Macaca mulatta: one gene and its partners. The protein of the gene in region 1 interacts with the protein of each later gene in a biochemical or structural test. Links are inferred from orthologs where the notes say so. Each region holds a gene or a part of one and is shown in the gene's direction. Other genes may lie near its edges. The genes, in order: THRB, NCOA6 and TBL1X.

The links.
Region 2: the proteins of THRB (region 1) and NCOA6 form a complex in vitro, tested with the Homo sapiens proteins (2 studies listed by BioGRID). The link is inferred for Macaca mulatta from reciprocal best matches to the Homo sapiens genes THRB and NCOA6.
Region 3: the proteins of THRB (region 1) and TBL1X form a complex in vitro, tested with the Homo sapiens proteins (2 studies listed by BioGRID). The link is inferred for Macaca mulatta from reciprocal best matches to the Homo sapiens genes THRB and TBL1X.

The regions. Positions count from the first base shown.
Region 1 is NC_133407.1:24,163,961-24,168,107, forward strand, and holds the start of THRB (thyroid hormone receptor beta), read left to right. Parts: upstream 1-1,242; 5' UTR 1,243-1,347; coding exon 1,348-1,381; intron 1,382-1,623; coding exon 1,624-1,752; intron 1,753-4,147.
Region 2 is NC_133415.1:87,532,451-87,536,101, reverse strand, and holds part of NCOA6 (nuclear receptor coactivator 6), read left to right. Parts: intron 1-1,628; coding exon 1,629-1,750; intron 1,751-3,651. UniProt on the Homo sapiens protein: Nuclear receptor coactivator that directly binds nuclear receptors and stimulates the transcriptional activities in a hormone-dependent fashion. Coactivates expression in an agonist- and AF2-dependent manner.
Region 3 is NC_133426.1:9,263,973-9,267,623, forward strand, and holds part of TBL1X (F-box-like/WD repeat-containing protein TBL1X), read left to right. Parts: intron 1-2,926; coding exon 2,927-3,028; intron 3,029-3,651. UniProt on the Homo sapiens protein: F-box-like protein involved in the recruitment of the ubiquitin/19S proteasome complex to nuclear receptor-regulated transcription units. Plays an essential role in transcription activation mediated by nuclear receptors.

The DNA.
Region 1 (4,147 bases):
GTTTTAGCATTATTCTTTTACAAAATGACTTTCAAAAAAGTGGCACCCAAAGCAATGACTTGACTGAAAGTATATGACTGAGAAGGGCCTCTGTTGCTAGACTCCCATAATAGAGAGTACAGCTGAGATGTCCACTCATCCCCAAAAGGGAGTTATGCTACAGGTGTGACATCCAGAGCAGTGGATGTCCTTGCCCTCAGTTGTTTGAATACACTGAGTTTGCCATAATGCTGTGCTCCACAACCATGCCAGCTCCATTGGAACACGTGTCAGCTTTTTCTCAGTGATGATCTTTTTCCCTGAACAAACAAGGGGGTATATGACCCATTCTCTGAATTTTATATGAGTGATGGGGTGTTTTGTCCCTTCTGCTCGTCTAGGGGATCTGTCCATCGAGTTTATGAAAACTGTTTAGTATGCTATAACATGCATGTGCTAAAGCATATAAGGCTCCACTTTTTTATGTAGTTGTATACCCAAGTAACTACCACTTAGAAGAACATACAAAACATTTCCAGCAACCCTGAAGGTTGCCCGTGCCCCTCTCTGTCACTGCCTGCCCCATACCAGGGTTACCACTTTTCTGAATTTCATCACCATTGATAAATGTTTTTATCTGTTATTGAGCTTCTTTTACATATTACATAATACACATTCTTTGTATTTGACATTTTTTTGCTCAATATAACATTTGTAAGATTCATACCTGTTGTTACATATGTCAGTATTTTTTTTTATTGCAGAGTAGTATTGAGTACATGGATATACCATAGTATGTTTATTCATTTTCTTGTGTTACAGAAAACTGGGTTGTTTCCAGTTTGGGACTGTCTTTTGGTGGACATATGCATTTCTCTTGGATATAAATCTCGGGAAGGATTTGCTAGGCTATAGGGTAGATATATGTTTAATTTTATTAAAAACTTTCAATCAGCTTTCCGAAGTGGTTATAGAAATTTACAGTGCCCCCAACAGTGTAAGAGAGTTCAGTTGCTCCATATCTTCTACAATACTTGATAATGCTGGTCTTTTTAAATTTTAGTCATTATAGTGGATATGTAATAGTCTCTCATTGTAGCTTTAAGATGCATACTCCTTTGCATTTTCACCTAATATAAGTGAGTCATAAACATTGAATGTCATGTAGAAGCTTTTAAATTATTGGTTCAGGCTACTGTACGTGCAATGGTTTTTAAGGGATTACTAACCCTTTTAAGGAATCCTAACTATTTCTCTTTCCAGAGAGAAGTGATGTATAATTGTACAATCATCTCAGCTTAGTCAGATGTGAAAATTCCTCAGCCACATCCCTAGTGTGGTATCCCCATGGCATGGCCTTGGTAAACAATGCACAGAGGAGGACCCAACATTGCTACCATAGGTATTTGGCAATGAATTTGCTTCTACATACACAGGGAATCCTGTCCAATAATATCCAGTGAGCATTTATTGAGCACATACTTTGTTCCAGGCACTGTGCTGGGCATTGAGAAAGCAACAGGGAGATAGACACAGTCCATCTCTCTTTTGAAAGACTCACTGTCTAATGAGGGGGTGGGAAAGTGAACATACAGTTGTCATGCAGTGTGATAAATGCTTTGCAAAATGTGCATGTATTTTCAGGGGGCTTGGAGCAAAGGTCCTTGAAGAGAGCAAGAAAAAGTCTTCCCAGGAAAAGTGGTCACCTGAGTGAGTGTTACAGCGAGAAGGGGGGCATCCCAGGCAAGGCAGCTACCAAGCAAAGGTGTGAAGGTGAGCTTCTGCACAGGTTTCTCGAAGGTTGTTGGTACAGCTGGAGCATAAGGCACACGCAGGAGGCACTTGCAAAAGATATAACCAGGATGCGTACAGGGCTCATTATGAAGGGTGTACTTAAGTGAAAATATATTTTGCAGAATTTCAACCCAGAGAATCTCCCTTTTGGTTTACCTGCAAACAAAAAGAATCAATACTTCCTTTTGACTATCTCTGAACACTGAATTTTGGCTTCTACTCACTTTTTGAAGCTAAATTGTTTGAAGTTAGGCCCCTTCCTTCCTTCCTTCCTTCCTTCCTTCTCGTTCATTCATTCGTTCATTCTTTTTTGAGACAAGGTAGAGTACCATCATAGCTCACTGCATCCCTGACTTCCTGAGGGTCAGGTGATCCTCCCCCCTCGGTCTCCCAGGTAGCTGGGACTCCAGGCGCACACCACCATACCTGGCTAACTTTTTGCATTTTTAGTAGAGAGGAGATTTTGCCATGTTTCCCAGGCTGTTCTTGAACTACTGGGTTTAAGCAGTCTGCCCACCTTGGCGTCTCAAAATGCTAGGATTACAGGCATGAGCCACTGTACCTGGCTGAAGTTAGACTTCTATCTCTTTTTGTGAATACAGACATATTTTCTATTTAGCAGTTTAGAACCAATGTGAATTTTCCCATATATGATAGTCTAAGAATTGAATTATAGTTTCTTAACTAGGTTTTTGTTTTGTTGTGTTGTGTTGTGTTTTATATGCCTTCCAGACCCAACACCCTAGCCAGTGCAATGGCTCTGAGTGTGGCATAAGCCCACTTTTAGTCTTCTTATGGAATTGAGTAATGTTCTTGGTGTTAGCATCTCTCTTTTGATTGGAGGAGTAAGGCAGACACTTACATTTCTAATAAAAGATCAGCTTGTTGAAATTAAACCAGTCCTGATGGTGTCGGGAACCTTCTGCCCTGAGCACAACAGAGGCAGCCATGGGGTATCATAATTACCTCCATTATATTTAACAAACACTCAGGTAGCATGCACCTCTTTTGATTTTCCTTGCAGTATTCCAGCTACGTAGCAACTTGTTTACTTCTCACAAGCACCCTAGAGTTGGAAAGTTTCCACATATGGGGAAACTGAGGCACCAAGATATTAAATAACCTGCTCAAGCCACAGGTGGAATTTGAACTCACACGCTCATATTTGTAGACACCATACTATGTTGCTTCCTTTTACTTATAAAATATACAGGATCGGCCGGGCGCGGTGGCTCAAGCCTGTAATCCCAGCACTTTGGGAGGCCGAGACGGGCGGATCACGAGGTCGGGAGATCGAGACCATCCTGGCTAACAGGGTGAAACCCCGTCTCTACTAAAAAATACAAAAAACTAGCCGGGCGAGGTGGCGGGCGCCTGTAGTCCCAGCTACTCGGGAGGCTGAGGCAGGAGAATGGCGTAAACCCGGGAGGCGGAGCTTGCAGTGAGCTGAGATCCGGCCACTGCACTCCAGCCTGGGCGACAGAGCAAGACTCCGTCTCAAAAAAAAAAAAAAATAAAATAAAAAATAAAAATAAAATATACAGGATAAACTCAAAGGAACAAAGTTCATTCAGCGAACCTTTGTTGAGCAACTGCCTGGTGGGTGAGTCAGTGACACCTTTGCCCCAGAAACTCTTAACCTATTTGGGGAGACAGATAGTAATAAATGTTTGTAATGCAATGTTAACCTGAGGAGGAAATTCACTAACTTTGACTGAGGACGTTAGGGAAGGGCTTCTGCCTGAAATACAGGCTCAGCCTTCATGAAAAGGAGTGAACAGACAGGGCAGTTCTGAGTCGTGATAAGGCAGAGCTTGTGTGGGAGGTGTCAAGTGTGCCGAGGGGTGGGAGGTGCTTTAAGGTGTGCTGTGGAGACTGAAGTTAGGAATAGGACTGGTGGAAGGTGGTACTTGGGGCTGGGTGTGGGGGTCTTGTATGTGCGGCTGAAGAGTAGGACTTTAGCTTGTACCTGGTGGGAAGTCATTGAGGGTTATTAAGTAGAAGAGAGAGTTGATAAACCACCTTCTGGGGAGATCCGGTTTGGATAACATTGCCATAATTCAAGAGAGGATGTTAATTTGCAGTGTAGGTTATTTAGAATCTAGGAGCATCAGGTGAGTTGACAATTAAATGTAGAGTCTGAACTGTAGCATGTGGTGGGGGAGGAGAATAATGCTGAGCAAGAGAGAGAGAAGGAAGAAGAAAGGGGGGGAGTGTGAGCACAATGTCTTCTGAAAGGAAAAAGGAAGGAAGGAACCAAGGGAGAAGGGAAAAGAGGGAGAAAAAAGGAAGGAAAGGATGGAAAGAGAACAAAAAAGAATATGCCAGTATGTTTAAAAATATATTATTATGATGAAATGTTATTGGTATAATT
Region 2 (3,651 bases), on another chromosome or scaffold:
CTTTACTAGTATCAATCTGTGGGAATAATTATTTAATAAATATTTTATTCTCTCGATAGTCTGGGAGTAAAATTGCAAGGTTATTCAGTTGCCTCTAGTGTGCATTTTTTGCCATCTTCACCAGCCCTTAGGGAAATTGCTTACTTAGGTCTGCAAATTGTGAAAGCGACCTTATACAGCATCAGGACTCCTAGGAAAGGGAGACAGTGGGTTTACAGGAAAAGTACCTGCTTCCAGCTCTACCACTAGTTCACTGTGAAATCTTGGGCCTGTTTCACACACCTTTTTGGGCCTTTGTTTTCTCATTCATAACATGAGGGGGCAGGCGGGGCATGGTGGCTCACGCCTGTAATCCCTTCACTTTGGGAGGCCGAGACGGGCAGATCACGAGGTCAGGAGATCGAGACCATCCTGGCTAACCCAGTGAAACCCCGTCTCTACTAAAAAACACAAAAAAACTAGCCGGGCGAGGTGGCAGGCGCCTGTAGTCCCAGCTACTTGGGAGGCTGAGGCAGGAGAATGGCGTGAAGCCAGGAGGCAGAGCTTGCAGTAAGCTGAGATCGCACCACTGCACTCCAGCCTAGGCGACAGAGCGAGACTCCGTCTCAAAAAAAAAAAAACATGAGGGGGCTGGACCAGATATTTGAGATTTCTTAGCTCTACAATTTTCTGAAAGTAAGGGTTACCACTGAATCTTTGCCTGTAATTTAAAGTGAGAGAAGTTTTACAAGGAGCAAATTGTTACGGGGGTCTGGATGTGCTAAAGATCTGCTTCAGGTTCTAAATTTCCATGTGCTAGGGGGCTTTTAAAATGGATTTTGGTGGCTTATGAAACTGTACACAGTAGAGTGAGACAAAACACTACCTAAAAGTGGGTGAACAAAATCAGGGCAAAGGGAAACTAAAGATAGAAAAGAAAAGTACAATTAGTACTGAGATTACAAACAAAATGAGGCCCATGATCTGTCTTGTTCTTTGAGAATGTGGATGTTAGTAGCTACATTTTCTTCATTTTTTTCTTCCCCACTGAAAATTTTAAGCTACACCCAGGTAAAAGTGAAGGCATCTCAAAGCCAATAGAGATGTCTGCACATTCTGCAGCAAAATTTTTGTTATGGTGGTCTCAATCTTTATTTGTTCTCTGAACACCATTTCCATCAGCCAACCTATACACCCTTTTGCAAGGTGTTATGAATTGAGCCCCCACTGTTATATCCACAAAAAAGAAACAATCAGACCCTGTAGTTGAATTTGATCGCTACATTGGAGATAGTGTGGTTTCACAGGAATAATATCTTATAACATTGATAGCCCTATGATCAAGTCTTAAAAACATCTAAGGAATGGGTGGTTACATGAAAATTATTGCATCAGGAATTTGTGGAAAGCATTTTGAGTAAATACAGTGCTGTTAAATTAAGTGGATTTTAACATTTAATGAAATTGCCAGATTATTTTTATGCCAATATTTAATGTTTTATCCACACTAGAGAGAGATGAATAATGGTAATACAAACATTTTAGTTCTTCAGAAATAGAGGAAGGGTTAAGCTAGTTTTGTGTATTTTCTATGCAACTTATTCTAAAATATGTTACTTTTTTTTTTTTTTTTTTTTTTTTTTTTTTAGCACCCCAGATACTCGCCCAGCTGGTCTGGAAGAGGCTGATCAGCCACCATTGCCTGGAGAACAAGGAATTAACTTGGATAACTCAGGCCCTAAACTGCCAGAATTTTCAAACCGGCCACCAGGTGATAAAATGTTAGCTAGATTATACACTTATCACATGTGCATGTGGCATTACAAGGCTTCATTGTCTTCGAGGAAACAATAGTATTTTATCTGCTAACTAGTCTACTTCAGTGATTTAATGTGTCTCGCCTTGGTATTGAGTAAAAATTTCAGATATAACTTTTGAAGGCACATACACACATTCTATTCAAATTTGTCTTTGTTATTTTAAGTCCTCATAAAATCGGACTGAAATGGGGTTGGGCACGATGGCTCATCCACCTGTAATCCCAGCACGTTGGGAGGCCAAGGTGAGCAGATTGCTTGAGCCCAAGTGTTCAAGACCAGCCTGGGCAACATGGTGAAACTTTGTCTCTACAAAAATTTTTTTTAAATTAGCCGGGTATGGTGACACACACCTACAGTCCCAACTACTCAGGAGGCTGAGGTGGGAGTATCACCTGAGCCCAGGAAATTGAAGTTGCAGTGAGCCATGATCATGCCACTGCACTCCAGCCTGGGCTACAGGGGTGAGACCCTGTCTCAAAAAAAAAAAAAAAACCCTGAAATGTGAAGTGCCTCTTTATTCTTGTCAATGTCAAGGTTCTAGTTGGCATCAGAACAGGATAAGATTAAATGGAGAGATGATTTCACTCTAATCCTGCTTACCTGCCTTTCCTGCAGCGTTTCTTCCTGGGGCTTTTTCAAAGCAGGGAACTACCAGGGTTTAAAACAAGGTGATCTTTTTTATAGAAGTTTCATTATTGAGTCTTTAAAATATAAAAAAGATATAAAGAAAAGAGACACCCATTTTTCTGCCACGTAGGTTAATAATTTATAATAAATAGGACCAATATTGGAAGTCCCCTTTGTTGTACCCTCTCTGATTATAAAATAATACTATCCTTTAAATGTTGAAAAATTATGTCAACAATGGAAAAGCTCCTAAAACTAATTCATTCAAACATGGATATTATAGAACCAAAGCCAGCTGCCACAATATCTCTAAACCTAGTTATCTTGGCCTGAGCAATGACTTGTAACTTTATTCCCCTATGACACGGTTGAGAATGCACAACCCTTCACACTTAGGCTACTCTCTCCTGTATGTACAGAGGGTATGTTTTGTTTCTTCCTCACTAGTTATTTCAGCTCCTTTTTGGCATGAAAATGAGAGTGACATTATTTTAGGAATAAACTTTAATCTACCCCTGATTTATGTATTTTAAAAGTGAATCCAAACAAAAAGCTAAATCCATCATTATATCAATATTTTGTGTTATTTATTACAAATTGTTTGGGCATATCACACTTCCCATCAGTGAGATGCAGCGGCATAGCTGAGACTGGGTGGTCATCAGTCTTTGGGGAATATGTCCAGAAGGCATTGAGAACAGGAACATGCCTTCTTGCCTCAGACACATCTGAGGCAACTCTTCTATATTATATGAATCCCAGGGTGTCTTTGTATACATTTATTGCCTTCTTTCTGCAAACTGGGGACCTGCAGGCTGAATTTGGCCTATAATGGGTTTGAGTTGCTATGCAGTGTCTTAAACAAAAGTCTGAATTTAAATGCCTTTAAAGAGGGCATCTGCTCTGCAGTTTGGCATTGTTGACAGGACTCTTGCTATCTTATACCAGTCCACTTCTATTCTCTACTACCTGCCTGACCCCTAAAGGCATAGGAGTTTGCATTCCCTGAGTAATAAATTTGGTTTGTGATTGTGTTATGGGCACTGTGTGTGTCCTGGCTTTCCCTCTTCACCATTCTGTCACATCAACCCCAATCTGTCTTATCATTAGTGCCTTTTGGACTGCTGCCTCCAGCTTCTAGACTCTGTAGCAGCCATGCCCTTAACTGTTACCTTTGAGAGGCTGCTGTATTGTCTATGCTGTCCTCTTTGGTATTTACTGTCTG
Region 3 (3,651 bases), on another chromosome or scaffold:
AGGCAGGGCGTCATGTCTGCCGTAATCAGGGCTCTTGGCCATTTGATTCCAAACCCTCACCTTGGCACATGTTCTTCCTCGAAGGAGCCACTGTCTTCTGTTCACTTTCTGAGTCCATGGCATGAAACCTTCCACCTGCCTCTTCCTCTTCTTAGCAGTTATCACTGAAACGCTGCTCTCTAGATACTGAGGCTGGAGGGTGGGAGTGGGGGACCAGCTAATGGGGTCGAGGCCAGCTCCACCTCCTCTGCCCGCACCAGCTCCTGCAGCTCCCCCACGGAGCAGACCAGGGAGTGGGAAGCAATGTGCGCTTGCTGTTGTCATGGCATTTCTATTTTTCTTTTCTGTTTTGTTTTCTTGTTGTTGTTGTTGTTGTTTGTTTTGTTTTGTTTTGAAACGGAGTCTCACTCTGTTAACCAGGCTGGAGTGCAGTAGCGCGATCTTGGCTCACTGCAACCTCTGCCTCCCAGATTCAAGCGATTCTTCTGCCTCAGCCTCCCGAGTAGCTGGAATTACAGGCACCCGCCATCATATCTGGCTAAATTTTGTATTTTTAGTAGAGACAGGGTTTCACATGTTGGCCAGGATGGTCTTGAACTCCTGGCCTCAGGTGATCCGCCCACCTTGGCCTCCCAAAGCGCTGGGATTACAGGTGTGAGCCACTGCGCTCAACCTCGATTTTTCAAATCAAAGTAGGTTCTGTTTAAGGACATAAGGTATGTCAATATTGGGTTGTCCTTTTAGCAGAGATTGAAAGGACATAGGATTTAAATAAAGGTGGCTGCTGTGGGTATCTTGGGTCACACCTGAGGATAGAAGAATTCAAGCTGTAAAGTGTAGAAATGGATGGGAAGTAGCACTGCATAGCGTAAAAGATTATAGAGGGCCATCAGCACTTGATTCTATTCTAAGGGAAGACAGACAGGTGATGATACGCTAGGAGCTGTTGAAAACAATGAAGGGGTCCCTTTTGCCTCAGGAGGGAGGAATCACACAGCCTGCCCCCGTCCCCTTTCATCTGCACTGCCTTCTTGGTTCCTTTTGGCTTGGTTGACATTCAGCTGGATTTACATCCTCAAGTTCATTCCCCCTGTGGACTCATGGGTGATGAGCCCTGTTCACTGGCAAGTGGTCCACTGAGATCACAGGCTTCCCAGGGACCTCATGTGAACCACATCCTCTCAGAGAAGGAAAGGAAATGGTGGACCCTGCGTAGAGCCAACCCGATGCCAAGCCCAGCCCCACAGCCCTAGATAGCCCTCCGGGAAGCGCACATCTCAGGACTAGTGTGCAAGAGTCTCTTGTCATGAAATCCTTGCTAGAAATAGTAATGGATGGATTTGTAAAAACAACACATCAATTATCCAAAAAAAAATGACATGATCAGTTAGGTACAGCCTGTTACCAAGAACTCACTGAATTGTTTCAACCCTTTTTTATAAATCAAAGAAATCCTTAGGATTTTTCTTTTTTTTTGGATCGGAGTTTCACTCTTGTCACCCAGGCTTTAGTACAGTGGCGCCATCTTGGCTCACTGCAACCTCCGCCTCCCAGGTTTGAGCAATTCTCCTGCCTCAGCCTCCCAAGTAGCTGGGATTACAGGCGCACACTAGCACACCCGGCTAACTTTTGTATTTTTAGTACAAACGGGGTCTCACCATGTTGGTGTTGAACTCCTGACCCCAGGTGATCCACCCACCTCGGCCTCCTAAAGTGCTGGGATTACAGGCATGAGCCACCGTGCCCAGCCAAGAAATCCTTAGGATTTTTCTTAAGAGAAATCTTAAAGCCCACTTTAATCTTTCTCCAAATATAAAAATACTTATCTATAATACTGCTGACATACACCTTTCTCAGTTCATGGAACACCACGCTTTAAGGAGCCCAGTTGAGCAGAGGATTTGCAACAGCCCTCCTGGTCTCAGTCCTCAGATTTCTCCTGCCTGTCACCATTAGTGAATCATGAGTGAAGGCTTATTCGACTCTTTCTCTCTTTTTTATTTTTTAAAATTAATTTTTGTAGAGACGAAGTCTCTCTGTGTTGCCCAGGCTGGTCTTGAACTCTTGGGCTGAATCAGTCCTCCTGCCTCGGCCTCCCAAAGTGCTGGGATTACAGGGTCAGCTACCTCGCCTGGCCTTATTCAACTCTTTCAAAGGCCTCTACTTCCCCTACCTCTTAGATTTGTCACGTTAATGCTGTTTTAAACCAGAAACCAATGGTCTGTGGTGTTTTCCATTACATGTATATTATGCATTTGTTCTTTCAAATGTCCCAAAATAGGTACATTTTAACATCTTGGCGTATTAATACATGTAATCGTGAATTATAGTCAATTTCATTGCTACTGGGGTGGGGGTATTCACTACGTTGTATTCATTGAGGTCCTCCAAGGAACAGACACCAAAACAGGATGAGATGGGCAAGAGATTTATTGAGGAGCTGTGATGGAAACAGGGAGGGAGGTAGGGGGAAGGAAGAATTCAGACCATAAGGCCAGTCTGACCCTGGGAAGGAGACGGGAAGGGTAGGAAGAGTCAGGGATGGCCCTACAGGTCAGTAGAAAGTTTTGGCCATGCTGATGGAGAGTCCATGAGCCACTTATCCACCAGATGAGTCTGAGTCTCAGCAGATGACTGCCATGGTCTCCTGCCTCCGTCAGTCCTCAGCTGGGCGCAACCTCAGAATCCACGCACATGTGGTGGCAGATTCCACAGGCATAAGTAATCAGGTTTACTCCCTGTGGTGGGAAGTCCTAGAGATAACATCTCCACAGCCCCCAGAGTCCTTACTGAAAACCCTTAAATTTTACCGTGCTTGAAAATGTTCATGACCAAACACCAGGGCAGGAGGAGCACACATTGTACAACTGCATCTGTCGCAGGCGCCCCTTGCATCATTGTAAGTGACAGCTGCTTTGCTTTGCAGAGTGGAAATCTCGTCCACAGCTACCGAGGCACTGGCGGCATCTTCGAAGTGTGCTGGAACGCCCGAGGAGACAAAGTGGGCGCCAGCGCGTCCGACGGCTCTGTAAGCAACACCTCTGGTTTGCTGGAGAGTGGGGTGTTGGGGGCGGCTGATGCCGAAGTGAGCTTCGAGGGCATATGCAGCGTTCGTGTCCTGAAGGGCCTAGCCCAGTGCCAGAGGAAGCTTCTGGGCTGGATCCCATCTGAGTTGGTACCACATCTGGGAATGGCCTTCTCCTTGTCCCTTCCAGAATGTCCTTCTAGTCAACATTTTCTCAGTCAAATTGTTGGTTCTCAACCAGGGTGATTCTGCACCTCTGAGGACATTAGACAATATCTGGAGCCATTTGAGGTTGTCACTACAGTCATGTGTCGCTTAATGATGGGAACATTTTGGGAAATGTGTCATTAGGCACTTTTATCTTGGTCTGAACATCACAGAGTGACTGACACAAACCTAGATGACAATACCTGTCACACACCTAGGCTGTATGGTAGAGCCTATTGCTCCCAGGCTACAAACCTGGACGGCAGGTGGCCATACTGAATACCGTAGGCAACTAGAACACAATGGTAAGCATTTGTGCGTCTAGATCTATCTAAACATAGAAAAGGTTCAGCAGGAATAAGAGTTACAGTCTTACAGGACCACTGCTTTCTGTGCGGTGCATTGTTGCTGGAAACGTC